Struthio camelus: one gene and its partners. The protein of the gene in region 2 purifies or fractionates together with the protein of the main gene of each other region. This does not show direct contact. Links are inferred from orthologs where the notes say so. Each region holds a gene or a part of one and is shown on either strand. Other genes may lie near its edges.

Region 1 (10,495 bases), on a different chromosome or scaffold from region 2:
AGCTAGCAGAGCAGGTAGCTCCATGTGGGCGAGGGGTTGACTTGCAGCGGGGTCTCTGCGCTAACATCCTCTTGGAGGGTCAGTCCTACCTTTTTAGATGCCAAACGCTGAAAATGGTTTGTGCGCAAAGAAAGCGGCTGCAGGGCAGACAACTGAGAGCAGCCAGGCCCCTGCTGCCGTTCTGCGGCTCTGCTGTTCTTGGAGTCCTTTCCTTGCTCAGCATGTGGAGGGAAACCCAGGACTCCCTCTCCTGCCCTGCTCTGCCCTTTGCAGGTCAAGGCAGCCCAGAGTTTTGAGGGTATCCCCATGAGTGATCGTTACTGTGGCTTCACTGCCTGGTGGCTGAGCCTGACAACCCAAGTAGGGCAGTGCCCTCGCTCTGACCCAGCGGCAGAGCGAAACCTGCCCGTTCAAACACCAGCTTCCCCTGAAACTGGGGAGCGCCGAGAGCTCTGCTGGGGGCAGTAGCTCAGCGGATGGGCAGGGACGTGCTACTCCCTGCTGCTCTGCTGGGGTATGCTCTCGTGACTTCTAGCTGCTGCAGTGACTCCTTTTGCAAACCCTGCTGTGTCCTGCCTCTTTTAGAAACGGGACATTCAGTTGCTGAAGGCCTATATGCGAGCCATCCGCAGTGTCAACCCTAACCTGCAGAACCTGGAAGAGACCATTGAATACAATGAAATCCTGGAGTAAGTACTGGTTCTCATGCTGCTCTAGGAGAAGGAGGGGAGCCCTGCATCAGTGAGTGGAGCTGAGCCTCTGCCAGCTTAACTGACAAACGAGAGGAGGAGGAAGTGCCTTGCCAGGGAAGGGCACAGTTTGAGAAGAAAATGTGTTGTCTTGTTACAAAAGCAGGGGGCGGGGGGCAGTTGCAGGGATGTTTGCGCTAGGGAGCGGCATGTGAGCTGGTTGCACAATGGGTTCTGATCGTTTTTAGTCTTCCATCTGCATCCTGTTCACAAGCAGGAAGCTGCCAGGTTCCTTCCTCCTTGTGAGAAAGGCTGGAGGAAGTGACTTCTCATCTGATCCTTTCTTCTGTTCCCTTTTGGGAGTTAAAGGCTCTGTTCAACAAAACTGAATGCGACAGCAAAGGGACCTGCAGGGACTGCTTGTGGGGGTGGGGACAGAGGAGAGGTAGGTGGGGGGAAAAGAGGTCTTTACCATCCAGCCCAGCTCCCAGGCACAGAGCAGACCAGAGGCAGAGGAGCTCCTCAGTTTCCGTGACAGCCACCTCTAATGTGTGGCCCTGACAGTCCGCTTGTCCCTGTCTCCCCAACCAGGTGGGTGAACTCCCTCCAGCCAGCCCGGGTGACGCGGTGGGGCGGAATGATCTCCACTCCGGATGCAGTGCTGCAGGCCGTCATCAAGCGCTCGCTGGTGGAGAGCGGCTGCCCCACATCCATCATCAACGAGCTGATCGAGAACGCCCACGAGCGGAACTGGCCGCAGGGCCTGGCCACGCTGGAAACCCGCCAGATGAACCGGCGGTATTACGAGAACTATGTGGCCAAGCGCATCCCTGGCAAGCAGGCCGTGGTGGTGATGGCCTGTGAAAACCAGCACATGGGTGAGGACATGGTGCTAGAGCCAGGACTGGTGATGATATTTGCACACGGAGTGGAGGAAATATAAGGACTTTCAAAGCAAGAAACGCTTCGTGCTGACAAGGGGAGAGGAAGGAGAAGGTGAAGAGGCAGAAGGGACTGGGGGAGTAGCTGGTCAAAACCACTGGTGTTCCCTAGCCGCCTGTGTGGTTTTGTTAGAGCCTTATCCCCTTGAGCCTCTTGCTTCCTAGCTGAAATGATTAAATGCCTCTGGTAAATACTACTTAAAACACTTGGCCCAGCAGTGAACACACAGTGCAGCCCATCCGTGTTTGCCCCTTGCAGATCAGCTTCTACATGCAATGTCTTTCCAAGGGGGGAGAGGGAGAGAAAGCACAACTGCTCCACTGAATACCGCCAGACTCTTCAGACCCAGCCTGCGTTTTGGATGCTACTGCCTCCACCAAAGCCCTGGCTCTTTGTGCAACCCAAACTGAAAGGATAAGTTGATCTCGTTGTGGACCGGCCCCATGGCCACTGGTGTCTCTCTTGTTTGTCCAGTGGCTAAATCCTTCTTGGGCTTTATCTCCCTCTCTGGATTCCTCCTGCCTCACTCTTAAAAGGTTTCTCTGTTGCTCTTTCTTCAAGTCTTGCCTCCTTCCATGCCTGACTGACCACACAGTACCTTAACAGCAGGATTTGCTCCCCAGCCTCTTGTGCTGGGCTGGGGAGGGGGCATGGGGTGGGGAGAGGCAGCCCAGGAGCAAGTCCACGAACAGAGCTGTGAGTAGTGCCCCAAAGCAACTCTCGGAAACCTAAAGGCAGCTGGAGCCAAGGCAGCTGAGCTGCTGAGAGAACGAGCCTCCAGCGCTGGTGGAGGGCTGGGGCCTTCCCCCGTGCGGGAGAGACTCTGCGTTGGAGGAACCAGCCTTTCAGATGGGCTCCCCGGCCCCTGGATGCCACCGTCCCTTCAGAACTGCTCTGGCCGTGCCGCCCTCCTGCTGCCGTCGCTCCGTGCGTGCCCTGCGCTGCCGGCCCGGCCCCGGCTCCCTCTGCTCTCCGGACAGGAGAGCCCGGGCTCTCCCAGGCTCGTCGTGCAGATGCTCCTGCCCGAGCGAATGGCTCGTGGCCGCCCAGGCATCTTGTGCCATTTAAAGTTGCCTCCACGCGTTGTCCTTAGCCCTAGAGAAACGGTCCTGTCTGTCCTGTGTGCATTGAGTGTTCGCGAAGAGCTTTCTGTACTGTTACTGTTGTTACTTTTCAGACACTTGTGATTGTGGTTCTGTATTTTTTGTACTTTTTTGGCCTCTCTTGTTTGTATACCCCCCCCTTATTTTATTTTTGAAGTACCATGGACAGGCACCTCAGAACCTGGTTACGTTTACTTGTTGGGAATTTAATTTATTTGCATTTGTTTTGTTGTTTTTTACAGTACTTTTTCTCCTCCTGTGTCTGTGTTGCTCAGATACGGTTTCATCAGCTCACTCCTGTGCCCGTGTGGGCTACTGTGAGGCAGGGATTTAAATAATCAATAAACAGCGTTCTGATTGCTTTACATGGGGCTCGGACAACATCCTCACTGCCGGGATCGGGCGTCTCTGCTCCTCCTGGGAGCTCCAGCTGTCCCTGCTCACCGGGAGGAAGAAGCCAGGAGAGCACCCGTGTATTTTGGTTCAAGAGAGTTCCCTTTCCCCTTCTCTGTTGCCCCTGCAGCAGCTGTGTTTTTCGCTGGGAGCGAGCGGAGTCGGCGCTCTCCCAGGGAGGACGCGTGGGCGCACGCCAGCCTCGGAGCTCGGGTAGCTCTCCTGCAGCGGCCCCAGGTCCCTTTTCCCTGCATGCATCCCGCTCTGCGCCAAGGGGCCTTCCCGGCAGCAATGCTTCGAAGGGGCCGGAGCAGGCAGAGGGCACCCGGAGGGATACAGAGGGGAGAGGAGGCTGCTATGGCTGTGGGAAAGAAGATTTCCCCACATCCAGCTTCTCTCCCTGGCCCTGCTGTGCCCGACGCCGGGGAGCCAGATGCACGATCGCTCCCGCTAGCCCCGCGCGCGGCCTCGCTCTCCCCCTTTTCCTTGTGGGCTTTCGCGTGCTCAGTGTCGCCCACCGCGAGCGCCCAGCTTGGCTTTTGCTCCGCTGCGAGGCGTCCCCGCTGCTGCCGGGCTCTGCCTCCCTCCCGGCCCTTTCCCTCTCCTGCACGGCTCCAGCCAGCTCTTGCGGGGCGTTTCTGGCTCTTCCGCGGCGGCTCTAGGGCCTGCTGTCACTGTGGGTTTGTATCCTGTATTTTTAACGCAGCAGGAATGTTTTCTGGCGTGGGAATCTGTTGTCCGAGGTGGTTTGTACTTGTTTCGGTGTCTAGATGACGCCCTGTTTGGAGGGGCCAGTGGCGGGGGGGGGGGGTCCTCCAGCCCGGTCCCTTGTGCTCAGGAATGTGACAAAGCTGCTAAATCCAACAGGAAAACTGCACGCGCGGAGCCGCGACGGCCGCTGCCTGTGCGCCCGCTGGTTCTTTTGTGTCGCCTGCGCGACATAAACCGCCGTTCCCGGATGCTGCAGCCTGTCGTCGCTCCGGGCGCTTCTCTCCGCCGCGGGGACGCTGTGGGCGGCTGCCCCGGCTCCGCGTCCTCCCTCCGCGACCGCTCCCCGGGCCTTCGCCGGGGTGGGGGGGGGGCAGCACCCCTGAGACGGGGCTCTGCTCCCCCGGGGGTGTCTGAGGATTTGGGACCCCCCCCGGGGCATGGGGGGGGGCCTGCCCCCCAAGCAGGAGCAGCCCCCCCATAAACAGCTCTGCAGCCGCCCCAAAAGGTGTTGTGCCCCCCCCCAGCAAGGGCTCCCCCCACCCCAAGAGGGGTTGTGCCTCATCCATGCAGCACGAGCTGCCCCTCCCCATCTTCAAAAATAAAAAGCGGGTACCGGGGGGGAGGGGGGGGTTTTGACAGCATCCCCCCCCCCGAGACCCCCCAGCTGCACCAGCCCCTTTTTCGGGCCGGGCCCGGGTGGCCCCCACAAAAACAACCGTCGCGTCACGGACAGGATTCGAACCTGTGCGGGGAAACCCCATTGGATTTCGAGTCCAACGCCTTAACCACTCGGCCACCGTGACTGCCGCGCCTGCCCTGCGCCGCGCTCCGCCTAGACGGCCGCCGCCGCCGCTCCGCCCCGGCCCGGCCCGACCCGCTCGGCCCCGCTCGGCCCGGGGCGGCGGGGGCGGCGCGGACCGGGAGCCTCCAACACCGGCCGCCCCCGGCTCCTCTCGCCCCGGCCGCTCCGCGGGGCCACCCGACCCCCCCCCCATCCCGCCCCGGGCCGCCAGGGGGCGGTAACGGCCGGGGCTCCTCCCACCGCCAGGGGGCGGTAACGGCCGGGGCTCCTCCCACCGCCAGGGGGCGGTACCACCTCGACTCCTCCCACCGCCAGGGGGCGGTACCACCTCGACTCCTCCACCGCCAGGGGGCGGTACCGCCATCGGCTCCTCCCACCACCAGGGGGCGGTACCACCTCGACTCCTCCCACCACCAGGGGGCGGTACCACCTCGACTCCTCCCACCGCCAGGGGGCGGTACCACCACGACTCCTCCACCGCCAGGGGGCGGTACCACCTCGACTCCTCCCACCGCCAGGGGGCGGTACCACCTCGACTCCTCCCACCGCCAGGGGGCGGTACCACCTCGACTCCTCCACCGCCAGGGGGCGGTACCGCCATCGGCTCCCCCAGGCCGCCAGGGGGCGGTACCGCCACGACTCCTCCCACCGCCAGGGGGCGGTACCACCTCGACTCCTCCCACCGCCAGGGGGCGGTACCAGCCGAGGCTCCTCCCACCACCAGGGGGCGGTACCATCATCGGCTCCTCCCACCGCCAGGGGGCGGTACCACCTCGACTCCTCCCACCGCCAGGGGGCGGTACCACCTCGACTCCTCCCACCGCCAGGGGGCGGTACCACCTCGACTCCTCCACCGCCAGGGGGCGGTACCGCCATCGGCTCCCCCAGGCCGCCAGGGGGCGGTCGCGCCCCCCCCGCCGCCAGCAGGGGGCGGTGGCGGCCGGTCGCGGCGGGGTGGGGGGGAGGGAGGAGGGAGGCGGTGACGGCGGCGGCGGCGGCGGCGGCGCGGCGCGGCGCGGCCCGGCCCGCTGGAAGATGGCGGTGCGGAAGAAGGACGGCGGCCCCAACGTCAAGTACTACGAGGCCTCGGACACCGTCAGCCAGTTCGACAACGTCCGCCTCTGGCTCAGCAAGAACTACAAGAAGGTAGGGCCGCCCCCCCCCGCCGCCGCCGGCCCCCCCGGCCTGTCACGGCCCCGCCGCGGCCTCCCCCGCCCGGCCTCCCTCGGGGCTGTCAGCGGCGGCGGCGGGCGGGCAGCCGAGGAGGGGGACCCCCCCCACCCCCGGGGGGGGGTACATCAGGCCCGGCCTGCTCACGCCCCCCCCCCCCCCACCCCGGTGCAGTACATCCAGGCCGAGCCCCCCACCAACAAGTCGCTGTCGAGCCTGGTGGTGCAGCTGCTGCAGTTCCAGGAGGAGGTGTTCGGCAAGCACGTCAGCAACGCGCCCCTCACCAAGCTGCCGGTGAGACCCCCCCCCCCCCCCAAACCCGGGGGATCGGGCCCCAGAGACATCCCCCCCCACCCGGCGGACCGGGCCCCAGAGACCCCTCCCCAAACCCCAGGGACATCTACCTCCTCTGGGGACCAGGCCCCAGAGACCCCTCCCCAAACCCCAGGGACATCTCCCCCCTCCGGGGACCAGGCCCCAGAGACCCCCTCCCCAAACCCCAGGGACATCTCCCCCCTCCGGGGACCAGGCCCCAAAGACCCCTCCTCAAACCCAGGGACATCTCCCCCCCTCCAGGGACCAGGCCCCAAAGACCCCTCCCCAAACCCCAGGGACATCTCCCCCCCTCCAGGGACCAGGCCCCAAAGACCCCTCCCCAAACCCCAGGGACATCTCCCCCCCTCCAGGGACCAGGCCCCAAAGACCCCTCCCCAAACCCCAGGGACATCTCCCCCCCTCCAGGGACCAGGCCCCAAAGACCCCTCCCCAAACCCCCAGAGACCGCCCCCCCCGGGAACCAGGCCCCAGAGACCTCCCCACCAACCACTCCCAGGGATTGAGCCCCAGAGACCTTCCACCACCTGGAGGACCAGGCCCCAAATATCTCCTTCCCGGGGAATGGACCCTAGAGATTCCCCCCTCACCCCCCCCTCCTGAGGGGCTGGACCCCAGAGACACCTCTCCCCCCCAACCCAGGCACCAGGCCCCAGAGACCCCCGAGGACCCGACCCCAGAGACACCAGTCACTGCACTCCCAAAACACGACAACTGTGCCCCAAAATCCCTCGGCTCTGCGCCCTCCCCCACCCTCCCGTCGAGCTTTGCACCCTGAAGACGGCCAGGGACTGCACCTTGGGGACATGGTTTGCACCCCAAAGAAACCCCGGGGCTGTGGCCTAGGGACGCCGGGGGGGGGGGGGCGTGAGCAGGCAGGGGGGGGGTCTGCATCCTGTTGGCCCAGGGCAGCGCCCAAAATGCGCCTGGAGACAGCAGCCCAGTGACCCCTGCGCTGTGCCCTGCTGACAGCCGGCACCCCGGTCTGTGCCGTGTCCCGCCGGCACCCCGGTCTGCGCCCTGTCCTAGGGACGCTGCTCCAAGGTGGGGGGGGGGAGGGCAGTGCCCCAGTGACCTCCCCCCCCGGGGAAGGCGCCCCGCCCTGACCAAAGGACAACGGCCTGACCATGGACAGCGCCCCCGGACCTGGGGACAGTGCCCCGAGACCACCACGGACAGCGCCCCGAGACCACCACGGACGGCGGCCCAGTGTGCGGGCACAGTGCCCCGATGTGCGGGCATGGCGCCGTGTCTCCCCCCCCGCCCCCCCAACCCCAGCTAACTGCCCTCCCGTGCCCCCCCCCCCACCTTGCCCTGACTCCTTTGCTCCCGCTGCAGATAAAATGCTTCTTGGATTTCAAGGCGGGAGGAGCCCTGTGCCACATCCTGGCGGCGGCCTATAAGTTCAAGAGCGACCAAGGATGGTGAGCCGCCCGCCTTTCGCCCCCCCGCGCGGGGAGGGTGGCCGCGGACCAGGAGGATGGGGGGCCGCAGGGGTGGGGTGGGAGGGCGTCACGTCCTGCTCCGTCCTGGGCCTGGGGGAGCGGGAGCGGGTCGGAGCCCTTTGTCCCCCTCGAGGGACCACGTTGGGGGTGCGCTCGGGCCCATTGAACGTGCCCACTTCCCTGGCAAGCGGGTGGCGGGGCAGAGTCCCCCCTGCCTCAGCCAGGGCCCCGCGGCGGGGCTCGGGTGCTCCCCTCCCTGTCCCCCAGGCAGGCTTTGAACAGCTGATGAGGAGACCTGAGCTGTGGCTTTCATGAGAGTCGCTCTTTTCTTCCAATAAGGCGGCGTTTCGATTTCCAGAATCCTTCGCGGATGGACCGCAATGTGGAGATGTTCATGACCATCGAGAAATCTCTGGTGCAGGTAACGGGCGCCTCCCCCGGCCCTCCGCTGCCCCTGGCCCCGCTCCCTCGCCCCTGCTCACTGCTCTGCTCTCTTCCTCCCCCAGAACAACTGCCTGGCCCGACCCAACATCTTCCTGCACCAGGAGATCGAGCCCAAGCTCCTGAGCAAACTGAAAGACATAGTCAAGAGACACCAGGTAGGTGGCAGTGCTTGGAGGGGGGGGTGGGCCTCATCCTGGTGCTCAGCCTCATGGCCTGACCACCTCCTCTGCTCCCCTCGCAGGGCACGGTGACTGAGGACAAGAACAACGCGTCCCACGTTGTCTGCCCCGTCCCTAGCAACCTGGAGGAAGGTGGGTGCCTGGTGCCAGCCTCTGCAAGGAGAGTGGCTCGGGCTGAGCGTCCGCTCTCGGAGAAATGCTGTGGGGTTTTGGGGTTGGGGGGACAGGGCTGAGCGAGGCGTCTCAGGGCCGTTCTTCCAGCAGAGCAGGGACACGGCAGTGCAAGCTGCGGCCTGGGGTTGGTGCTCGATGCCCCAGTCTGCCAGCATCTGGCACTGAGTTAGCTCCCTCCCTCTGTGTCTTCCAGAAGAGTGGGTCCGGCCGGTCATGAAGAGGGACAAGCAGGTCCTCCTGCACTGGGGCTATTACCCGGACAGGTGAGCAGGGCCGGGGCACCCCGCTGCTTGCGCCCAGCCCCGCTCTCCTGGAGGGGCTCCAGGATGTGGCTGACACCATGCACTGGCCTCCGGTGAGCGAGGCGTCCCTCAGGGCACCACTCTCACCCCTGCCCCTCTGCTCCCCAGCTACGACACCTGGATCCCCGCCAGTGAGATCGAAGCCTCGGTGGAGGATGCGCCGACGCCGGAGAAGCCCCGGAAGGTAATGGGGCCGCTGGGCTCAGACGGAGGCTGGGCTTGGCCCTCTGCCTCGCCCGCGCAGAGCCGGGTCTCCCTGACTTGCCAGCCCTCCTCTCCGGCAGGTCCATGCCAAATGGATCCTAGACACGGACACCTTTAACGAGTGGATGAACGAGGAGGACTACGAGGTGACAGATGAGAAGAGCCCCGTCTCCCGCAGGAAGAAGATCTCCGCCAAGACCCTAACTGACGAGGTCAGAGCCCCAGAGAGAGCTGTGGAGTGGGGGGGGCCTGCAAACGCGTGGGACCTGGCCTGGTGCTGGGAGGATGGCGGGGGTCCAGGGCGGGAGCAGGAGCTGTCCCATCCCTCTAAAAGGAGAGGACGGCCACTCCTGTACCCCTCAGTCCCACCAACAGCATTGCAGTTTGCCACCCAGCACGGCAGTGGTGCCCCCCAGCATGCCCCAGAGGGCAGTGACCCCCCGCCTCCTCTCCCCTCTCCAGGTGAATAGCCCCGACTCGGACCGGCGGGACAAGAAAGGGGGCAACTACAAGAAAAGGAAGCGCTCACCCTCTCCCTCGCCCACCCCGGAGGCGAAGAAGAAGAACGCAAAGAAAGGGTGAGGGGCTCTGGGGCTCCAGCTGACAGCTGGGATTGGCCCTGAGTCGTGCCAAGAGGGCTGGGGTCTTGGCATGACGGGAAGAGGGAAGCTGCCGGGCACCCCCTGCCCATGGCTGCAGCCGTGATGAGGGCGCATGGGGTCTCGCCTTGGCAGCCCCTCCACCCCCTACAACAAATCCAAGCGCGGGCACCGTGAGGAGGAGCAGGAGGATCTGACGAAGGACATGGACGAGCCCTCGCCAGTCCCCAACGTGGAGGAGGTTACTCTGCCCAAAACAGGTTAGGGCCATGGCCATGGCCTCGCCACAGGGCCTGGCACTCCTGGCTGGGAGAGGCCAGGCCTGGCAGAGCAGGGGGCATCTCGCCCTCCTCCTCGCCCGTGCCTGGGCTGGGGGAGGCAGGATCGCCCTTCTCCATGCACTCAGCACCTCTTTCCTTTCCGATGCAGTGAACACCAAGAAGGACTCGGAGTCTGCACCTGTCAAGGGGGGCACCATGACAGACCTGGGTAAGTCCAACCCTGTGTGCTGATTATGGGGGGGGGGGGCGGGGGGGGGGGGGTTGCGCATTTAGGGGCTAAGTGCTGCACAGGCGTCCTCGGCCGGGGTCTGGCAGTGCTGATACCGCCCTGCTGCCTGGGGCTGCAGCTGGGCACCGCCTGAGCACTGCTGCGGCATGTGGGGGTGGGGTTTGCTGGGCTCCCCCGATCCTCAGCATCTCTCTCTCATCTCTTCCAGATGAGCAGGAGGATGAGAGCATGGAGACGGCCGGCAAGGTGAGGCTGGTGTTGCAGGCCTGGGCCAAGATATCCTTGTTGCACTGCCTACCAGCTGAGGGGAGAAGCCTCTCTTCTCCCGTAATGTCAACCATTTTGTGTGGCTACAGCCACTTTTCCCTATGTTGCTCCAAGGAAGCTCTTCCCCACCCCAGAATCTCTTCCCCACCCTCACCAACTCCAGGGCCAGAGCACTGACTCTGTCCTTTCCTTTTGCAAGGATGTCAGAGCAGAAGGCTTTTCTCATCC
Region 2 (10,758 bases):
AGGGATTATCTCTATATTCATTTCCTGAAACAATTCTCGGCACTGCATAGTAATGAAGTCTCCTGCCAGTGGTGATTTCACTATACCTAGAAAACAGAAAAACATCTCGAACGTACTGAAGTCGTAGAATAAATCCTCCCAACTAACTATTCGTCAGAGAACACTAGTTATTTCCTAGTTAAGGGAACACATGCCTATTTAAAAACAGTAATAAAACTGTAAAACCAGTAAGAAAGCTAACTCATTTTTTAACGCTGCAGCGTTATTATCCATGAAAGTCTTTTACCTTGCTGAAGTACATATCCATCATGCACTGGAATAGCAGTGGTGTGCGTTGCTCCGCTATCCAAAATGAGACCCGTGGATCGCCCATTAGCAAAACTAGCCAAAACGATTAGGGAAAATATTTTAATTTTCACTTTGGAAAAGACGCTGTCATAAAGTTTAAGTAACCAGGAACAAGGACCCTACTGTTTTTCTCCTTGGCTTTATGAATGGACTTGCCATTTTCTTTCTACAAAAGTGAACATAAATCCTGTTCTCTCTGTGAGGTTACCTTCTATCTGTAAACTAACTGGAACGCTGGACATAAAAAAGTGACAACTCAAGTTAATATTACGCAGCAAGCTCCAAGTACATCCAACTTAACATGTTTTCAGCTTCATATTCTATCAGTCTAAAATAACTACAAATTTCAACTTAAAGTTTGAAGTTCCTATAGCCTTCATTACCGTATTTAGGAGTCAGGACAACGCCATTTCAGACGTCTAATATTATTATCATGGTATACAATGAAAAAAGACACTGCCTCCATGCAAGACAGTCAGACTGGGAGGACTTCAAAACTGAGCTCTAAGGCTCAAGTTCAGAAATGGAATTTGTTTCCTTCCTGCCTAGATGTTTACGGAAACATTAATTTGAAAGAAAATGGTTAGATATGTTGTTTTACTAGGAATTATCTAGAATAAGTTTACCACCTTTTCTTGGGGAAAAAAAAGGCTCAACATTTCAAAGGATACGCTGTTAGAACAGCGGTTTTGCATAAGAAAAAAGCAGGGATGTTGTAGTGTTCAAACATCAATTCAGTTAGTTTTTCACGCTTTGCTCTAGTATTCCACTAGAAAAAGAAGAAGAAAAAAAACCACATACACACAAATAAGTGATCAAAATGAAGATGTTTATCCTGAGGATCATCAGAGCACGTTCAAGGGACGCTAACAAAATGAACAGTTACAATTATTAGAACCATGGTTTCAAATCATATCTAAATTCTATGCAGATAGACTGCTAGAATTTTACTTAGAATCTTTTCCATTCCAATTCTATGACAAAAACATTAATATTTATCTCTTATACAAAATTAAAGGAGCAGCAACTTAATAATACAGGAAGACTTCTGATAAGCAGGGTAAGACATATACAACTTTACAGTTACAAGAAAGAGTCCTTCACCCTTCTAGAGATCTTCCAGCATCAGTCTCTCAAAAAAATCTAAAACAAGTAACACCCATTGTACAGGGGAAAGATACATGACATAACTTGCCTGGTTGAAAGAAAAATAAATCCAGATTTGCCTGTTTTTAAGGTATCTTCCTACAGTTCTACTGTACTTGTGATTAAGCAAGGATATATTTCAAATATTCCGCACATCACTGAAAAAGCAAAGTCTTTCTTTCTATGCCAATGATTCGAAGTAAGATTAGTTCTGTGAGGGGAATTCTAATGGAAACCTTTACTGAGACACCCATAGAGCCATCAAACAGGCAATAACTGCCGCAAATTCATCTGTACTCCAGCCAGGTACAACCACCTCCTCAGGTGGTGCATGAAAATCATGGCGGGGTGGATGTTGTTTTTGTTTTTAGCTATTTTAATAAGTCCAAGGGACTGTAACCAAGAATTCATCTCAAGAACATCAGCCTGCTTCAACTGCATATAAAGGGATAAAGCAAATCCTACTCAAAGATTTTATTAAAGAAGGGCATAACTACAGTATGGCATGCCAACATCTTGTATTCAGATTTTAACATCTGTCCTTCGAATGCTTGCCACAAGCAAACAAGAGGGTGAGGTTTTTGTTTGTTTGTTTGTTTTTCCCAAAGAGAAATTTGGATTCGTCCACTTCGCCTTACAAGGCCCTTTACAGAAATGAAGAGAGACAAATTAAAATTTCTTCATTATAAATATTCTTCTCTGTCATGTAATATTAGTTGGTGGGCTAAAGGCAGTGACAGATTTCCAACGGCACTCTACTAAGTATAACTTTATTGTCCTAACATGTTTTCATTTTTACTCCAGGGAATAAAGTGAAACTTGTTTTTTTGCTTCTTTTCAGTAAGTTAAAAAAACAATAGCACATGGTAAATAGTTTCGGTGCCTTGTCACAGAAAGCATTTCAAACTGGCTTTTTTTTTTTAGCCATTTTTCTTAAACAGACTACTTCCAACAATCTGGAAAAGTACTTTAAAATGGTTACTTCCCTAGGTAAGTTTTAATACTCGTAATCTACAAGCCAGCATCAGATTTGTTGAAGACTAATGCTTGTAAACTTAGCAAGAAGATGCAGTTAAAGCTTTTCAAAAACGCAAAGTTGCTTCTACTCACTGGTGCTTCAGACATTAGAACAGGATGCAAACTTGCTTCAGATTTAATATGCATCTTGTATGTGTGATCCAGAATTGCCTGGAAACTATCCCAGTCTTCAACTGTAATAACATCGAAGCAAGCAGATTAGTTTACTTCTAACTTTTGTTCCACTTCACGCATACATAAAGGTTCTGTGATTTCTTTTTTTCCTAAAGCTCTTTAGTCCAAGGCTATACTCAAAGACATACTCCTCCTTTAACAGCTCTGCAAAATTCTATTCCTCTATAAGTATCATGATCATAACATACTCAGAATTATGCTAAAAATCTATCAACATCATAAACCAGCTACACTTTATGCAACTAGCGCATCAGATATCTGTTCTTATGACGGTCTTAGGATGAGCCTCCACTTACACACAGTACAGGAATGAGCTTCCAACCTAGTTCCATAAATTACCTCTTTCTCCTTTTATCAAAATTTAAATCCAAGTCAACAAATAAGAAAGAAGCCTACAAGCCTTCCCTTACATCAGACAAATGCTTACTGTCTTATCCAAATTTCTTTAGGGAAAGCAGATTCTTTCGTTTTAGGCCCTGTTCTCCAAACCCCCAAAAGAGAAACACTTAAGCACATACCAACTTCTTCTGTGAAAGCTATGTTTTTTTGCAGCCCAAGTAACGCTATTTTAAGAACAGATAGAAGAAGACAGAGCACCATACTCATTCCATTTTTTAAGGGTGAAATGGCCTCCATATTTTCCCGTGGAACTCTCAGGGCATTGGTGTCTATGTAGTAAGTCGGGCCCCCTTGTTTGCCTTTGTCACCATCTATCTCCATCAAAGTGCTGCCATTGTCCCTTTCTAGCACCACACCAATAGCTGTTGGAAAATCCACCTGTAAGGCAACAGGTAAATAGTCATGAACATTATTCATGTTTTGGGAGGACGGTTCATAAAATTCAGACCTTTCATTATACACCTTAGTAAAAATAAAGACCCCAATGTATTCTGGAAACTCGTCAACTAACAGGTTTGGTGGTTTTGGTATTTTAACCGGTTCTAAGGTAAGTTCTAGTTTTTATGTTATATTTCAATCACACAAACTCTCACCTTTGGACAGTCTTCACCCGCATAGCCTGCTCTCACTGTATACGAGCCAATGTCAAACACAAGAGCCCCAACTTCATCTGTAAATGTTGTGAATACAGAGAGAGTCAACGATTATTACACTCCATTACAACCCCGACCTGCCTTTGCCCTGCCTCCTGTCCATTTGGCCGGCAAAAGAGAAAAGCAAGTCAAGGCCTATTTCCAACGCAAGGAGAAACTTGTCTATTCAGAATTCAGGTTTCTGGAGAGCGACTACAGGACCGCCAACAGGCTTTAACTGGGACGCCACAGCAACTTCCTTCGGCTTAAGTAAAAACGGCCACTTCAACAGGAGAGAGAAACCGTCGCTGCATCTGCACGGATTACAGGACGGAGCTTTCAAACAGTGAAGTCACGCGAAGCCAGGTCTGCCCAGGCCACCCGAGCGGCGCTGCCGCGCCTCGGCTAGTCGCAGGACAAAGTACCTCGGCGACGCGACCCCGGGAGGGATACAAGTAAGGCCTTCAGCCGCCGCCTCCTCCTCCTCGCTCATGCTGGCGCCCCCCACCGCGGCGGAAGAGCCGGGCCGCGGCCTCCGGCGCCCGGGGCCTGAGGGCGCCGCCGGGCGGGCGGGAAGGGCCGGGGCGGCGCGCGGAGGCGGGGGGGGGGGGCGGAGGTGGGGGAGGCGCGCACGCGCCGCCGCCTCACGGGACGGCGCCGAGCTCAACGGTCGCGCGGGGGCGGGGCGGACAAGCGAGGCGGCACCGGACTCACCTCCGCCGTACACGCCGCCACTCATGGCTGCCGCTGGGCCCGCGCCGCGCTCCCCGGGCCCGGTGTCCGCCGCCGCCGCGCCGGCTTCCTCGGCGATCCGGCAACAATAGCGCCTTCGCCCCTCTCGCCCCCGGCGGGCTCAGCCTAACCCGCCGGCCTGCCGCCTTCCCGCCAATGGGGAGCGCGGCTGCCGCCCGCCCGCCTACCGCGCGTCGCCCTGCCCGGCGGCCGCTAGGGCAGAGCGGCCAATCGGAGCCGGCGGAAGGCGGGGCCAGAGCGCGGGGAGCCAATCCTGAGGCGGGAAGCGGCGGGCGAGCGAGCGAGCGAGCGAGCAAGCGTAGGTGCAGCGTGCGGGGGTGGAGGCGTGTGAGGAGAGGGCCGTCCGCGGGCTGCGTGTGAGGAGGGGCCGGGCCGGGCCGGCGAGGCGGGGAAGGCGACTAGGCGCACCGAGGGCCAGCGGGGTGGGCATGCTGCCTGCACGAGGGGTTGGGTGGTAGCGGGCGGTGGGGTGGGTAGAGGGTGTCCGGGGCGGGGGCGGTGGAAGGGCGCCACGGTCGCTGCGGGCGGGGCCTCTCTGAGCCCTTCTCCCGCCGGCTCCGGTCGCTGCTCCTTAGGGCTCCTCAACCGGGAATAAAATGCGCTGGAAGTATGTACTGGTACGGCAACACCATGCTCTTCCTCTCCTGCCTGAGGCACTCCTTTGCACCTCAGAGCTTGGCCCCTGAGGTTAGCTCATCTGGCCAGTTAAGCAGTTTTGATTTTCTAGCTCGGCTGCCTGTTAAATAGCTGAACCTGTAATTAGGAGAAGAGATTGCCTTGTTTGGTGTCAAAAGCATTCAGCCAAACTTGGCGTTTGACCAGTAGGACCAGAGAGGGGAAGCTAGAAAGTTGTAGGAAGTTGATAAAAGAAAAAGACCTGAGGTATACCAGAGGTTAGTATTAGAGAAAAGTAAAAGCTTAAGAGTAGGGAAATCGGCTTAAAATACAAGCGTTCTTGGTGTGCACCTTTTTGAATTCCTGCGTGGGTTATTTTGGAGGAGGTGAGGGCTGATCTTTGTGTGTGTGTGTGTGGCCTACTTTATAGTCATGGATGCTCTTTTCAAATTCACATAGGATGTGTAGTTTATTTCTGAATCCTGCAGGAGGATACTGAACTCAGATGGCATGATTATGTACGATCAGCATAATAGAGCGGCATTTGATTTATTATCTTTGCATTTACTTACCAAGTATTGCAGAGCATAATGAGTGATCACAGTAACAATTATTGGACTATAAACATGAAAAAATGTGTTTCTTATATTTTCACTTTAAGCAAAAAAAGTTCTGCTTAGTGCAGGAGTCCTGCTTAGTCTTATTTTGATAGGTAGTTTAGTACTTCTTACAAAGCTTTGGGGTTTTTTAAGTTGTAGCCTGAGTTTCCACTCTCACTCTTTATTTACACTGCTTATTTTGTTTGACTTTAGCAACATTTCAATTTTGATCAGTGAAATGAGAAGAAATAGAACATTTACATTTGGTACACCCAGGCATATTACTTCAGAGGTTTTGTGAAGCTGTTGTGAATAGAACAGATTATTGCAGATTTCAGCAAACTTTATGCTAGTGAAGGAAAAGAGCAGGCTAAATGTGTGTGTTTTGACTACAGCTCCCAATCTGTTGCAGTTAAAGGTAGGGTGCTGACTAACAGTCTCCCCTTAAGTCTCTTTGTGAACCAAAATACAACACAAATGCTAAAATCCAACAGTAAGAGACAACAAGTTTGGGTTTTTTTTAATGCAGTTATGAGAAAATCAGGAGACGGTTAGACATAATAGCTTTCAAGGGTAAGTAATTTAATTTGACAGGCAGTTTGATTCTCTGTTTCTTTAATGAGCAAAATTCATAATTTTTTCATGACAGTAGGAAATTTGTAGTTTTGACATAACTCACAATATCATAAAACTACAAAACAGAGATGCTAGTGTTAGGAAGAAAGATGTAAATCCTGCTTTTGCACTAACTGTACCAGATGAAGTCAGTGCACCTCACATTTGTCTTATAAAATCTTTTAATGTTAATGTATTATCATGATTTCCAGTATGTGGCACTAATACCCAAGGCAGAGTTGTTTGAGGAGGTGGAATTAATTACTCTTAGGAAAATCAGTTCAGAAAATTCGGCATTAAAATACCGGAGGATCTTCATTTAGCTTGTGGTTGTACTTTGGTTATTATTGTAATAACGTTCATGGTATTCTTATGCCAATTGACGCTTTGGGCCAGATCTTGCTCTGCACAAGAGCTACTGATGATTGATCTGCATGCCAGAAACAAAGGCAGTACTGTGCCTCTTTCCTTTTCTCCAATATTTCTTCAATATAGAAGAATTCTTGGTGATACCAGCAGAAAACGCGTGGCGGAGTAAAGAGGCACGTGGCAGTGTGTGGTGGGGAGAGAGGATGTGCCTGTGCTTGACTAATCTTTGCCGCTAACGGTCCCCAGTACAGTGGCCGCTGGGGACTGTTAGCAGCAAGCCAAGTAGTATTCACTAAAGATCATTCTGATATTTGGCAGCCTCAGGATTAGAAGAGCACCAGGATATGAAACCAAACCTGTGTAATCCTCAAGAAGCTAGAAGGATTTGGGAAGGGATATTTAGGCTGTAAACTGTCTAGGTCTGACTTCTCACTGCCTTGCACTTTTGTAGGCATTTACATCAGTGGAAAGAGTGTGTAGAACGTCATCACTGTGGTTTAATTACGTTTTAGAGTGCCTGCATTTGCTTTACAACAGTGTGAGTATCTGCAGTAGAGAAGGCAATAGAGAAATAGACTCGAAGCATCTTTCAGCAGAGTCTGGTCTTGCTTACCAGGTGTACGTCTTATTTCAGGTGTACGTCTTATTTCAGGTGTACGTCTTATTTCACAGAATTCCTTCAGGTTATCCTATGTTTGCCTAAGAGTAGGTAAAACCTAGAATTTTGCCACTGCTGACTATAACATACCTAAATATTCTTGTTTAAAAACATTTTTGCATAGTTTTCTCAGAAGCAAGGATTAGAGAATAACAGTGAATGGAAACATTAAATGTATTTTATCTAAGTTCCCGTATTGGTACAAATGGCAATAGCATCTCGGCAGTGGTTGCATGTGTAGGTATGGTACACACTACTTGCTTTTCATGGTGATACCGCATACTGATTTACTGTATGTGACATTGTATATAATAACTTTGGAGTCAGACACTAACATAAATTGGCACGCAGGAATAAACAGAATGATCATCTTAGAAGTGGGGCATGAATAAAGACCCCAAATGATGATGCTTGCTAGTAATCAAAAGTTAATTTCATCAGTGGTAGTCAGGAGACTCTGGAGCTTCTTGATTATTGTCTGAGTTTTTTAACTTTGTTAATACGTAATTGTTTCAAGCATGTGCTTGAACCTTTCTGGTAATATAAAGCAATGTAGAAAATGGTGTAATTTCAAGCCAAAATTGAACAGAATTTTTTTTTTGTTTCTCAGTAAGCTGCTCATCCCTGTTGGGTTGCCAGTGGCCTGTTCTTTTTGAACAGTGTCATACAACTGCCAGTCCATGTCCCAGGCAGCAGAGTGATGGTGACAGCGGGTTATTCATAATGTCTGTCTTCATCCTTGTTTCTTGATTGCAAAACGCATGTTAAAGGTTTTATTTTTCTAATTTTCAGAGGAGGTCTTAGATGTTTATGTGAACTATAAAAGCATCTGTAGATGAAAAAGTCAAACAATTATTAATATTCATTCACTCAGTCACTTTATGTGATCTCTCAGCTTCTCACTTTGATTGCTAACGTGTTTGGGTGTTTTTCAACTTTAATACTTCCCTTTCTTACGGGGATGTTTTGAGAATAAATACACTATCACCCTCATTCTGCAGAGAGAGAACTAGAACACAAACTAAACGCTAAGTCTCACTAAGGGGCCTCAGCATTGCCACACCTGGCCTTTAGGTGCCTTGCTCAACGATAGGAATCCGGGTTCTGTATTATGTTTCCTCCAAAATGAAAGAGAGGCAGGTGCCTTAAAACTGGATTTGCAACAGGAAAATCACTCCACAGGATATTTGAGTTGAGTGGTAGAAAGTGCTGAAGAGAGGAAGTATGTCTGAAGTCTGTCTGTGATGTTAGCTAGGGAGTCATAGGGAGCTATGTCCCAGAATCCCCTTTTGGAGCTGGTGTCTAACTTGTCCTTTTGTAAAAGGCCCGTGACTCACTGTCATTTTAGAACATGATTGAAGGAAGAGGTGATGGTGCTTGCCATTAATAAACAGTCAACTTTCCGTCAGTGGTAGAGAGCCTGACTAGTTTTCAGAGAAAAAAATGGCCTTGCATGCTGAGGTTGCAGCTGGCTCTGGCTGGAATAATAGGGGCTAGGATGCCCTGGAGAATGGGAAAAAAACCCACATAATAGCAATGCTGCTACGTTATTCTGAGCCTGAACTGGTTCCTGTGAAACCAGCTGGGAGGACTCTGGACCGCTTGCCTTGTTTAGCTCAAACGCAGTACAAACTCACAGAGGCAGCTTAGGTTTGAAGATGGTAGAGCAGTACTTGCCTGGAACTGATCCTGAGGTAATAGGTGTGCTGGGCTAAGCCAGCTCTGGCCAGAACCTCTGAAGTGTGCCTGTATCGCCTTCTCAAATGAGTCCCTTGTGTTCAGACATCTCAGTTTGGCTCAGGTCTGGCAGCACTTACTGTTTCAGGCTTAGCGCTTGTTCTGCAGTCTCTTTGGATTCTTGCAGGGCTTATTAGCTTGGCAGCTGGGCCAAACCTGAGCTGGCTCACTGTATCTCACAACAAGTACTGCACAAACAAAGCCACCTACAGTTGTGGAGCCAGCTTATGTTGATAAACAGTAGCTCTTTGTATCAACTGAGCCTTACCGTTATATAGGGCATTTTGATCCCCTGCTAGAAGGGAGACTTGAGTATAATAGCTGAGCAGGTAGCATGGAGCACAGGTCTCTTGTTTCTTGGGCAGATGCTCTGTCTTCAGCCTCACAAGGTTCAAATTCCTATTCCCAGCTTCCCGGGGGAGGGGGAAACGCTGTGTTTTCTCACTAGCGGTTTTGAACTATGAAATCATGGAGCTAAGAATTATGGCTCTGTGTAGCCAGAGGTAAGGAAGCCAGAAGGAGAGTCTGCTGGTTAACTGACTCTGCAAGAGAAGAGCCCTGAGACCCTATTTCTGCTTATGCGTTTTTTTACGGGGTGAAATAATACGATCCTTTAAGTAGGGCTGTGGTGCGAATCGATGATTTTACAGAGTCATGTTACTTTTTAACGTTATCTTTTTGGAACCAAATTAAGCTTGAACTCTTGGCCTGTTCTACCACAGAAAGCTGTTTTTACTTGACATCTGGAAACGTGTCTTTTGAAGGGGAAGTTTTGGTGTAACCAAGTATGTATGTTTGTTGGTATTTGTTCTACCACCAGGAGAGGGCATAGGCAAAGCAGGGGGCAAAAGACTTTGGAAATCAGCATCAATGTAGCAGGGTTAGAACACAGACTAGAGTAGCGTTATTTTTGTTGGGCTTCAAAAAACAAGATACTGATGTCATTTTCTAGATTTACTTATTACTGTATCACAAGAGAGATGATTATAAACTTAAGTATTAAATGGAATGTCATTGAGGAAAGAGGAACGTATTTGCTGGATAGGCACGTAGACACAAAAGATTATCACATTTTTCCTGAATTCATTCAGGTCATTACTATGACAAGTATATACTTTGTTGTACCAGTCATCCAAAATGAGTACATAGAGCTATGCAATTGCGCTGCAGCAAGAAGTCTGATACAGAAGAGGATATGCTTTTTTCAGAAGACACCAATTTATACCGGGAAGTTTAGGGTTGCAATGCGCTATCTGAATCTTTATTCACAGAAAATCAGTATTCTAGGGCAGTCTTGCTCCTACTGTTCAAACGTATGAGCTGCTCAATTACAGCATTGACACACATCTGTATTAATATGCTCCATTTTAAAAAGTCTTTGGTAAGTTAGATAAGATCTTTGCATTATATGATGCTAGTCATTGAAATTGCTGGAACAAATAAGTTCATGGCATTTTTAATAACTCTCCTGAGAATCCTGATTTTATATCACGTGCGCATTCTTAGTCCTTTTTTTTTTTTTTTTTCCATTTAGACAGTTATCATGGAGTCTGATTCTCCTCTCTTGCCACTTTCAAACTGTTACGATGTCTTTTATTTCAGTGCAGCAGAATTGTAACCGAGAGGCCCAAGACGTCTTTCTTGCAAGTGAAACTGTGAGGAATCGGTGTTTCCA
Region 3 (10,685 bases), on a different chromosome or scaffold from region 2:
TATCCATAAAGGATGTAAAACGTACCACTGCTCACCTCTTTCTCATAAATGGCGATATCTCCTTCATCCTCACTATCGTCTTCTGTATCTACTTCTTCCTTTGCCACTGCCTCTGGACCCTGGCTGGTTCGCCTGCTGTGCTCTTTAATGATTGATTGTATGGATGGAAGTCCTACCTTTGTGGGAGGTGCTTGAACAAGCTGAAGGGAAAAAAGTCTACCATTACTTCAAGTCCACAAAACCCGTAAGTCATGTAGTCTTTAAAAGTGGCGCTTTTCTGCAGTTTGTCAAACCTCTAAATTTGGCAGAATCTGGAGAAACTGTGGAGGCAATAAGCCGCTGGAGAAGCTTGGGGAGGACTTGTAAGCATCTCCCCTGCCTTGCGATGGAAAGGGCCTCATTCCCACAGAAGCACAAAGTGATGCCATGATCCTGAGGTGTACTACTAACCTGGCTGGCAATGGCTGAAAACTTGGCTACGTACAAAGTCTCATCATACGTAGATGCACACTGGTTAATGTTGACAATCATGCAAGAGCGCCCACGTCCAGTAAAGAAACCCTGGAACACACGGGTTAGCTTGCTGTCCCGGAAGGGAACCACAGTCTGCTTCAATCTATGGGGAGAGACAAGAGTGAGCCTATGGGAAAGCACAACAGCCTCCCGCACACTCTTCTGTGATGTCTTGGATGCTTACTTTGACTGCTGGTTCTGGCGGAGGGCAGCAATGCAGCGGCCCAATGTATGCAGGGAAGTGTTGATGTTGTTTGCCTCTTTCATTCGGTCCCCACTTTTCTGGTCCTTGCAGCGCTCTGAACCCGCAAGGTCACACAGGGATAGCCTGAAGAAAACGCAGGAGGTACTACATGACCCTCTGGGTTTGCCCTGTTCTACCCAGCTTTAGAAGTCAGACACCCTGTGCTCATGTAACCGTGCTCACCCTCCCAGCTTCCTTAGAGCACACGAGCACCTTTGCAGTATAGGCTACTGCTGGATGGTAAGACCTACCCTAATTGTAGGGCTTACACAAGGTAATACCAAATGAGCTCAGTGGTGCTAAGTTTGAGGATCATCTGCCAATCTTCAGGACAGCCACTTTCCAGGTACTGAGTCAACTTATTTCCAGATAACTACATGCCAGGAACAGGCATCAGCAGCAGTCAAATCAGTTCCAGTACAAGGGCAAAGCTACCCACGTTCACCTTTATTCAGAGAGCCCAACAACTACCTCAGGTTGTACTTTGCAGTGCTCCTCACAAACACCTTCCCACTATCGATTCCAGGACTTATAATGGGAACATTTACTCCTTCCAAGTACTTTCATCTAGACCCACCTCAAGATATTTCCCATACCAGCTCCATAACCACAGCAGAGACAGGAAAGTCGAGTCCACCAGAAAAAAACCTAGCCCTAAAGGGCATTGAACTTACTCGCTGATTTTGGGAACAATTTCACTGCCACCTCCTTGCAAGTGCAGAATCCGAACAGAGAAGATACTGTGACTGTAAGAAGAGGCAGATATTTAAGAAAAGGAAGCATGGCCTGTAGAAGCCCCTCAGAATTGTACGACTCGGTCTAAACCCACTGTGTTCCCACCCCTGACCTGCGACTGGAGTTCTGGTTCATGTGAGTACTAGCAAAACTCTGGTTTTTCCGACCCAGTTTCAGGAGCTTCCAGGCCTCATCAGCATCACGGACATTGATCCAATTTAGATCTGGACAAGTAGACATGCATTGAGAAAGTCAGTTAGGAGACTGGCAGAGAAATAATTATCTCAGCCCAAACTTCACTATTGCATTTCCTTGGCATTAACAAACCTCGTTTCACCCTACCTAAATATCAGAAACCTAGGGGCCACAGAGAACATTACGCTCCCCAGCACATCCGTGCTAAGCCACTTGCTCACTCCATAAGTCTCCCTCAAGTATGATCTACCCGGACCCACCCCTAGTGAACCACTAAGCATATCTTTCAGGCAAATCTACCTTTCACATAGGGGTTGCCAGTCTGGTCTTCACAGAGTCGCAATGTCTGCCTCTTGCGGTTCTGACCCGGTAGAGCTGCTTCTAATAAGTCATAGATTAACTCATTGTAAATCTCAAAGAAGGAGACCCAGATGGAGAACTGCACATCGCTTTTAGTGGTGAGTGAAATACGATCCAGGTCAGCCCAGCGAGGGCCCGGTTCTGGGGAAGAGTAAGAGGAAACAGGTATGAGTGCAGACTTTCACAAGTCCAGCCTGAATGGTTTAATTAGAGGCTAGGGTATCTTTCCTTAGCAGGAACACTATCCTAAACCGAAATGTATTCTATAACCCCCTGCCCCCGACCCAGACCTCCTCTAATGCCTATAAGCCAGCCAAATACTCTAAGCTTCCCTTTAGTGGCATCCTCCTTTCTGTATAAGGACTTTTTATGTTTGATCTCCAGTCTAGAAGTATAGGATATCTTAAACAGGAGCCCTTCCTGGCATAAGTGAAGTTATACTCCTGGTTACCTCGATGACTCTGTGCTTCTGGATATCTGATCAGCTAGTAGTTCCTAGATTTGACAGTCTGGGCACAAGTGCTCACTGCAGCCTGTCACCTTAGACAGCCTGCTTTCCCCCTATCCCCATAGCATGATGCTCAGCTGCTCAATAAGCTTATCTATGAACGAAGTAAGCAGGTGCCAAGTAATTTTTCATTTGACAAGGCTTTGTTACTAAACCATAGTCAGCCCTTCATATACTAACAACACATGCACAGTCAAAGTTCTTCAGCACAGAGATTCTCAGCTTTCCTCCAAAAAATTCTTGAGACTGTAGAATCTTCACTCCCTTACACACCAAATAACAAGCATTCCTTTCTTCCCATAGCCCCCAGTAAAAAGAAGCAGGTAGTGCACAACAGGCTGCCAGATGTACCTTCTGTCTGGCTGACGTCTGAATGGTTGGTAAATTGGCTAGAGGAAGAGAGGCCAGCAACTCCGCTGTCAAAACTGCCACTCGTGGTGGCCTGAAGCTGGGATTCTGCACTGTGACTCCTCTTCAGTGGTGTTAGCAGCTCCTCCTGCAAGAGGCGAAGAACATGAGCCTGCAGTACAATGCCGTCACTTCCCTATTCTTAATATAAATAACCTAGAAGGAGCATGCTTACCTCCCACAGACCCCCCTGCAGCAAGGTCTGTTTCTTGGTCTCTTCCTGCCGAATCTGCCTGCTGTCCAGCCACATCACCTCATTGGAGAGCGAGGGCTTCAGATCCATGGCTTGATACAGTCGGTCCCCCACACTATTGAAGATGACTGCCAAGGACCGAGGCAGAATCCCACCATCTTTACTGGTACCTGAAAGAAAGAGCAGCCACAGCAAGCTGAGGACTCAGTACACACACAGAAGCAGATAACTCCTTTAACAGGCCCTGTTCTTCTTACCCTGAATAGTGTGAGTCTTCCCTGAATTGGTGATGCCATAGGTGTAAACTAGCCAATTCTGCCCATTCAGTACATCCTTTACCACCTGCTTCATTGTGCTATCAAAGAACAGCTTCTGCCCCACATCTGGCCCAAAGATCTGCAAACGAGACAGGAAGGAAAATAGCTAGCCTCACGTTGATCTTTCTTATCTTCTGACTGACCCTTGTTTAAGTGATACTACACACTACTACTGTCCCTTCCACTTGCCCCACACCATAAACATAGACCCAGCAATCACTCCAGGCTAAGCACCTGCAAAAACAAGCTGATCATTTCAACAGCTGCTAGTGTATTTACAGCCCCATGGGGGAGGGGGGGGAGAGAGAGGGAGAGAGAGAGAGAGAGAGAGAGAGAGAGAGAGAGAAAGAGTTTGGCATTTGCTGCCAAAATGGGTGGCAGGGTCAGCTTTAAAAAAAAAAAAAACTTCAGTAGAGAGGGTTGTACAAAAGAACAACATAACTCACACAGTGCATTGGTATCACTGCTCATTAGCAACTCAGCTTTTCTAGCTGTAACACTAGTGTAAGCTCAGAAAAGTTCCAGAAGGATTGTTTGTCCCTACCTGGGTGAAAGTGAATCTATGCGCTGCTTGCCCTACTCCGCGTTCTGTGCTCCGCATGGTGAAGGAGTCCTTGGGGGCTTTCAGAAGAAGAGTCTCCGAGTTCTCAATGCAGACACAAGCCTGAAAGACCAATTAAATCCCATCACTGCAAAGGCTTACAAGAGGCCATGGCACAGACAGCAAAGGATGGTAGCTCCTCCAGGCAGGCACAGGCAACCAGCTCAAGGTGTGCTTATTTCAGTGTCTTACCTGATCTTCCCCTTTTTCTAGCTCTGTAGACTTCAGAGGTCGAACTCTGAGATACACCTTTACTTTCCCATTACTGTCTTCAGCTACAGCCTGCAAAATCAAGACAGTTTAGATGTGCTAGCCAGAGGCCACACAACCATCTGTTAGACTCGGAATGCTAATGGGAAGCACGGCATGGAACACACCCTGACCTGCTTGCTGCTCAGCAGCTAGTGCTTCAGTGGTCTCAAGAGCCCCAGAAACACCAGAAAACAAGCTTCCTTAGGCATTTTGAGGCACCTTGACATTCATTCCGTGCATCTAGTGAATCAGACCAACAGTCCAAAGAACTAACACCGAAACCAGCCAGCCCCCAGATCAAGCCTCATACCAGGAGGCACCTACTGGTTCTGGCCTACAGAGTACACTCTTCACAACAGAAGCCACTCCCAAGGGGGGCAAGATCTTCTCTAAAAGCAATGTTTTGTTCTAACCTCCTCTGAAGGGCCTCTGTCGGCCCTGTATTACAGCACCTTTTTGCAGAGACACAGCAGTCACAAGCCAGGACACTATCCTGTTTGTGGGAAAAGCGTTCCAACCTCACCTGCTGGGAGCCCCCAAGCTCTGGAGAGATGGCAGAGAACTCTGACAGCAAGTCCTTGCGCACATCAGCCCCAAACCCCGTTGCTGTGGATTCAAGAACAGGGGAGGCTGCAGCCTCGTCATCAGAGAACAGCCCTGGGGAGAGGAGTGCCTGGGCCATGGCGTCTCACACAACTCCTGGAGAAAAAAGGGGCACAGTGGAAACAGGGTGATGCTACAGCAGCCTTCAGGAGCCCAAGCTTCGCTTTTCACAAACACCCGCCATGCACAGTCCACCGCGCAGCCGCTCAGCACACACCCTCCCACATGGACACACCCCTGCATGCACACACGCACACCACCATCCACACATACCACCACAGGACCCCCCCCTCCACACACACAGACCGCCATGCCAGACCCCCCCTCCACACAGCCCCACACGGAACCTCCTACACAACTACATACACCCCCTCCCCACCATGCAGGACCCCTCCCTCCCCCTCGGGCAGGACTCTCCTCCCACCCACATACACACACTGTGCAGGATCCCCCCCAACACAGACACCCCGTACAGGACCCTTCAGGACCCCCCCACACTCAAAAACACCCCGTGCAGGTCCCTCCCCCCTAAACACACACACCCCGTGCAGGACCCCCCCCACCCACATACACACCCCGTGCAGGACCCCCCCCCCCGCATACATACCCCACACACACCCCCCAAGCAGGATTCCCCCCCCCCCCCCACCGGGAGACCGACCCCTTCCCCCACACGCGGCAGCGCTGGGCCGCAGCGGCTCGCGCCCACCTCGCCTCCGCGCGGCACCTTCTGTTAGGGGTTTCAAACCTCGCCGCACGCCCGCTCCGCCAATGGGAGCCCGAGCCTGCGCGGCCGCCAATCACCGCCCGCCGTGCCGCCGCAGGGGCGGGGCCCGCCCGCTCGGCCGCCAGCGCGCTCGGGGGGGTGGCAGGGGGCGCGCGCGCCTCCCAGCGGGCTTTGCGCGCTGCTCCGCCCTGCCTCCCTGGGGCCAGGCGGGGAAGATGGCGGCGGGCACGGGCAGTGAGTGTGGGGCTCGCCGTGAGAGGCAGGGACGGGGGAGGGGGGGAGTACGGCGGCGGGGGAGCGGCGGCGGCGGCCCGTGGCGGCGAGGCTGGGGCGGGGACGAGGACGGGGACGGGGAACGACCCGAGTAGGGTCGAGCGGTTCTGAAGGGAGGAGGCGGGGCCAAAGGGGCTCGCGAAAGGGGCGGGGCTATGGCTGTGGGGCCCGGGAGGGGCGGGCCGAGGGGCCCGGGACTGGGCGGGGCCGTGGCTGGTGGGGGCGGGGTGGAGCGCCAGCCTGGGGGCGGGGCCGGGGGCGAGGCGGGAGCCGGGGGGTGCCCGGGTCGCGGCGGGCTGCGCACGGGAGGTGCGAATCGGGGGATTTTTCCCTTCTGCCGGCAGAGCACAAGCTGCTGAGCGCCGGCCCCACAGAGCCCTGGTCCATCCGCGAGAAGCTGTGCCTGGCCTCGTCCGTCATGCGGAGCGGGGACCAGAACTGGTAAGGGGCTGAGCAGAGCCCAGCGCGGACCCCGACGGTGGCCCTTCCTGGCGCTGCCTGGCCGCACGCGGGATGTACCCGCACCGTAGCGGCTAGGCTTCACAGAGCAAAGCACGGATTCGTGTTGTGTTGGCATGTTGCGTTTCACCACACCGTTTGGTTGTGCACTGGCTGGTCTTAAAACATTCTGCTTTCTGTGGACTTTCTGTTCAAAACAAACGTGGAAGTATTAGACACGTAGCTTGAAAATCTTTGTTCTTATTTTCTAACTACTTTGTGAAAACAGAAGTGTGTTAATTAGAAGAATGAAAGAATAGCATGTTTATAAATTGGATGAAGTGACCTGACTTTACCAAAGTAAAGTTTTTGTTGTGGAAACTTAAAAGTGTCCTCAGAAGCTAGAAACTTGCTTTTCAAAGCAAAGGAGGGGGTGTATTTTTGGCAGTAGGCAAATATTTTTGAGTTCTAAAGTTGTCCTGGAATAATTCCCAAACATAACAACTCTATCTAGACCAGTTCAGTGCAGTTATGGGGACTGTTCAGAGTGGTGAATATCGAGACAGGTTAGCACCATTTCACTGCATGTTGGTCAGGGTACAAAAGTAGGTGGACAGTGGCTCACGATTTCTCTCCTGTAGGGTCTCAGTCAGCAGAGCTATCAAACCTTTTGCAGAGCCAGGCCGCCCACCTGACTGGTTTTCCCAAAAGGTAAGATACCGGCTTTTGCATCTTGCGGAAGATGAGTTATCCATTGGATATACACGACAGCTGCTTAGGAGACTGTTGTTTTTGTTTGTTTTTTGGTTAAAAAAAAAGGAAAAAAGAAAAATATTTTTAATAAGTTTTATGCTTAAGTTGGATTAAATACCTTTTCCTGTTTCTGCAGTTAAATTTGAGCTTACAGCAGAAGTTGGAAAAGGTTCATAAAAAGACAAGAAGGGTGATCAAAGGCATGAAACAGCTTCCATGTAAGGGACAGCTCAGTAAGCTAGAACCCTTCAATATGCAAGAAGGATGACTAACAGGAGATACAGGAGAGATGTTTGTAAAATCAGAAATGGCATGCTGAGGATGAATAAGGATTAATTGTTCACTGCCTTATCCAATACAAGGGTTAGGGGACATTAAATAAAACTAACAAGAGGCAGATTCAAAGCAAACATGCATGGCACGTAATTAAGTTGTGGAATTCCTAGCCACTGGAATTTGTCATTGCCGTTGTATTATATTGTATTTTGGTGCATCCAGCTGTTGGGGCAGGCATCAGAGAGTTTTGTGATATAAGGACCAGAAAGAGATTAAGACAATCAAGGAAGGAGGAGTCTTTTTTTTTTTTCCTATGTTGCTCACTGTTTTCTTAGTGCTGTTAAACTATGAAACTAGCCTTGTTATAACGCTACCTTTTCTTCTGCATTGAAAGATTTTTGGTGCATGTTCACAGAGGGAAGCATAACAGCTGCAGTTCCTCCTCGTGCTTGCTTTCTTTGATTTGTAAATTGTTAGTTGGGAACATCTCTTTATTATTGTTTTGAAGGTCAGCCTGGGCAGTCCTAGAGTAGGGAGGGAATATGCTTCCTCATGTTGAGGTACATTAAATTGTAATTATGGAGGAACCTGTGGGAACCTTGTCAGATATGTCCAGAAAGACCTCTGAAGGAGGAAGAATAGGTGCCCTGAAGGCTTTGTTGATAATCGTTTGCTGATGGTGACTGTTGGGTGTCATCTAACTTTCTTTCTTTCTTCTTAGCACTGTGCCTCCCAGTATTCAGAACTCTTGGAGACTACAGAGACCCCTAAGTGAGTACAAAGTCTGAAGCGAGGGCTGTCCCTAGCAATTCTGGAGGAACTTGTCAGTTCTTACAGCAAAGCACTTGATAGTAGTTTGCCCAGGAGGAGCGTACAGGGATGAAGAAATTCAGTTGTGATAGCTGGCTTGGGCAGGCACTGTGATTAGGGTATGGCAGATGTTGAAGACTGACTCAAAGGGAAGAGCAGCTGGGAAGCAAGCCTAAGGTATTCCTTAGAATATCCTTCCCATATTTTTATCTGGTCTGCTCTTTTGAAAGACTGAAGTATTTCAGTAGTACCTGATTCTAAAATTGGTCACTGTGTGCTTGTTCGTGTCTTCCTCATACCCCTCCTATCATTACAGTGCTAGTACATGGCAAGGTATTTGGAGTCTCTTGGCGCAGGTACATTTATGCAAGTTGCAATATGCGTTTGGGGAGGTAATGCAGCAAACAGGAACGTTTATTTGCCTGGAATAAAACCCTACATATTCGTCTTACTAATCAGAAGATCGTATACATAAAATTAGACAAAAATACATAAAATTACACAAAAATAGGTAAAATTATAGTTCAGAATAAGGAGAAAAAAGTAGAAAACTAGTAGAAGTGAGGTGAAAAGTTATGACTGTCTTTACTTTGCAATGGTTTCAGATAGTTTTCTTATCAGTGTTACCACTGCAGCTTCATGGTGTCAGATACTTCTCATCCTGAGTTGAAGCATATTGCGTAGGGACCTGGCATCAAATTAAATTAAAGGCGAGTTGTTTAAAAGAAGTGTTTATGTAGGATAGTGCTGAATGAACATCAGTAGCAGTGTTATAAAAACAAAGGGCCTGGTAGAGTTGTTGAGAAAAAGTAGATGTTTCATCACAGATAGAAAGAAACTTCTCTGAAGTTGAAGGCTTGATTTGCAGATTGAAAATTTGAAATGGGCTTGCATCTTTGGTCTTCAGAAGTCTTTAATATTGGACACATTTAATGATTGGAACTTATCAGAAGAGATTGTTTCAATATTATGCCTTCCAATGTTATTTGAGGGAAATTGAAAGAGGAGGTTGATTTTTGTGGCAGGAATGACAGACAACAGTCATTTATGAAAGGAGAACTGGGATTTTCTGTGGTTCATTCCTGAACTGTTTTATTTTTCTCTTTTTCTACAGGAGAAAGCGTGGTGAAAAGGGAGAGGTTGTTGAAACTGTGGAAGATGTTATTGTGCGGAAACTGACTGCAGAACGAGTTGAAGAATTGAAGAAAATGATTAAAGAGACGCAGGAGAAATACAGGTATTTGGTAGAGGCATTAAGCTGTGGTGCAGCTGAAGGCTGTGTCTTGAAGAAGTGGCGTGGGTGAGGAGGAGCACGGGGTAAAAATATGTGGAACAAGAGCTGCTTAGGATTTATTGTTGAGTGATCAAATAAGAAGATTTTCTGATTACAGGCAACTCAAGAAGGATGCGGAGCTGATCCAGGCTGGACACATGGATAATAGACTGGAGGAGCTGTGCAATGAGATTATGATGTGGGTTATTTAATTATTTCCTCATTACACTTGCCTCTGAGTTTGTAGTCCCCTGACGCTTTGTGCCTGGCAGAGTTCTCTTGCTCAATGCACTTAGGGCTAAGAGATACCAGATAGCAGGGCAGATGCTTTGGCTTCTAAGGGTGGACTTAATTTGGACTGTGGGGCACGAGCTTATGGGGAATGTGTTTTGGAGTTCTGAGTGAAGAGCTTGGTGATGGCTTGCGACACCACGCTTGCTTCCTCTTTTTTAGTAGTCAGCTGGAAGTGAAGCTTTTTGCAAAGTGTGTCATACTCTAACTGGCCTCTGACTCTGCCTCCCTCCTCAGAGGGATTGAGCCTGAGCCCGCAAAGGCACTTCATTATCGCCTAGAGATTATGGGGCAGGGGTCCATAAGCTGATTGTGCAAGAAGAACTAAAGGGCAGCAGGATGCCGTGTGACAGTAGGCTCTGGTTCTTTATGCAGAAAGAAAAAAATGGAGGAGGAGGAGGCAGAAGTGAAGAGGAAGGCTACTGACGCTGCTTATCAGGGTAAGCTGGGAATGTGCTTCCTTACTCTTCCTCACAGAAAGAACATTTGGGAATTATTTCAGTCTTGTTAAGATCTGTTCAAGAAGAATTCCTGTACGCTAGGCGTAGCAAACGAAGGTTGTGTTCTTGTTCCAGCACTGTATTTGTAACAGCGCCAAATGTGCTGAGAAGAGAACAAGTTCTTCAGGGAAGGTGTGTAAGAGGAAGAAGTATTAGCAAGAAGCTCTCTAATAGAATGTCAGGCTTTAGTTTTCCTCTTAATCATTGTGTGATGATAAAGTGAAGAGAGGTTTTTTAATCCATTCTACAGTTCTTGGGGCAATTTTTTAGTTTTTGGGGCAATTCTGTGACCCAGCGTGCCAGTGGTGGGAGGTGGAGAACACCTGACTGCTGGGGAAATTTGAAATTAAAGTGCATCATCCATTGGTAGTAGTATTTGAGAACTGAACCTAGTGTGGTGCAGGAAGTTGCCATA

What was found. The genes of interacting proteins can lie anywhere in the genome.
Region 1: the proteins of ACTL6A (region 2) and SMARCC2 purify together in Homo sapiens (affinity purification with mass spectrometry; 8 studies listed by BioGRID and IntAct, counting the BioPlex papers as one, with this or other methods). This does not show direct contact. The link is inferred for Struthio camelus from reciprocal best matches to the Homo sapiens genes ACTL6A and SMARCC2.
Region 3: the proteins of ACTL6A (region 2) and BRD8 fractionate together in Homo sapiens (co-fractionation; 4 studies listed by BioGRID and IntAct, with this or other methods). This does not show direct contact. The link is inferred for Struthio camelus from reciprocal best matches to the Homo sapiens genes ACTL6A and BRD8.

The regions. Positions count from the first base shown.
Region 1 is NC_090969.1:553,406-563,900, forward strand, and holds the start of SMARCC2 (SWI/SNF complex subunit SMARCC2), read left to right. Parts: upstream 1-5,613; 5' UTR 5,614-5,675; coding exon 5,676-5,786; intron 5,787-5,984; coding exon 5,985-6,104; intron 6,105-7,481; coding exon 7,482-7,567; intron 7,568-7,927; coding exon 7,928-8,009; intron 8,010-8,094; coding exon 8,095-8,187; intron 8,188-8,273; coding exon 8,274-8,343; intron 8,344-8,578; coding exon 8,579-8,648; intron 8,649-8,795; coding exon 8,796-8,871; intron 8,872-8,971; coding exon 8,972-9,103; intron 9,104-9,353; coding exon 9,354-9,469; intron 9,470-9,625; coding exon 9,626-9,750; intron 9,751-9,919; coding exon 9,920-9,979; intron 9,980-10,208; coding exon 10,209-10,246; intron 10,247-10,495. Other genes in the region: RNF41 (E3 ubiquitin-protein ligase NRDP1), read left to right, coding at 1-14, 586-689, 1,281-1,632. UniProt on the Homo sapiens protein: Involved in transcriptional activation and repression of select genes by chromatin remodeling (alteration of DNA-nucleosome topology).
Region 2 is NC_090950.1:24,680,487-24,691,244, forward strand, and holds the start of ACTL6A (actin-like protein 6A), read right to left. Parts: upstream 4,648-10,758; 5' UTR 4,477-4,647; coding exon 4,452-4,476; intron 4,331-4,451; exon of another isoform or gene 4,163-4,330; intron 3,776-4,162; coding exon 3,699-3,775; intron 3,484-3,698; coding exon 3,225-3,483; intron 2,706-3,224; coding exon 2,605-2,705; intron 1,118-2,604; coding exon 1,020-1,117; intron 382-1,019; coding exon 287-381; intron 87-286; coding exon 1-86.
Region 3 is NC_090954.1:9,637,385-9,648,069, forward strand, and holds the start of BRD8 (bromodomain-containing protein 8), read left to right. Parts: upstream 1-5,803; 5' UTR 5,804-5,871; coding exon 5,872-5,890; intron 5,891-6,273; coding exon 6,274-6,370; intron 6,371-7,008; coding exon 7,009-7,078; intron 7,079-8,117; coding exon 8,118-8,167; intron 8,168-9,320; coding exon 9,321-9,443; intron 9,444-9,597; coding exon 9,598-9,678; intron 9,679-10,145; coding exon 10,146-10,210; intron 10,211-10,685. Other genes in the region: kinesin-like protein KIF20A, read right to left, coding at 36-200, 451-616, 698-841, 1,432-1,503, 1,605-1,716, 1,988-2,188, 2,907-3,051, 3,139-3,326 and 4 more. UniProt on the Homo sapiens protein: May act as a coactivator during transcriptional activation by hormone-activated nuclear receptors (NR). Isoform 2 stimulates transcriptional activation by AR/DHTR, ESR1/NR3A1, RXRA/NR2B1 and THRB/ERBA2.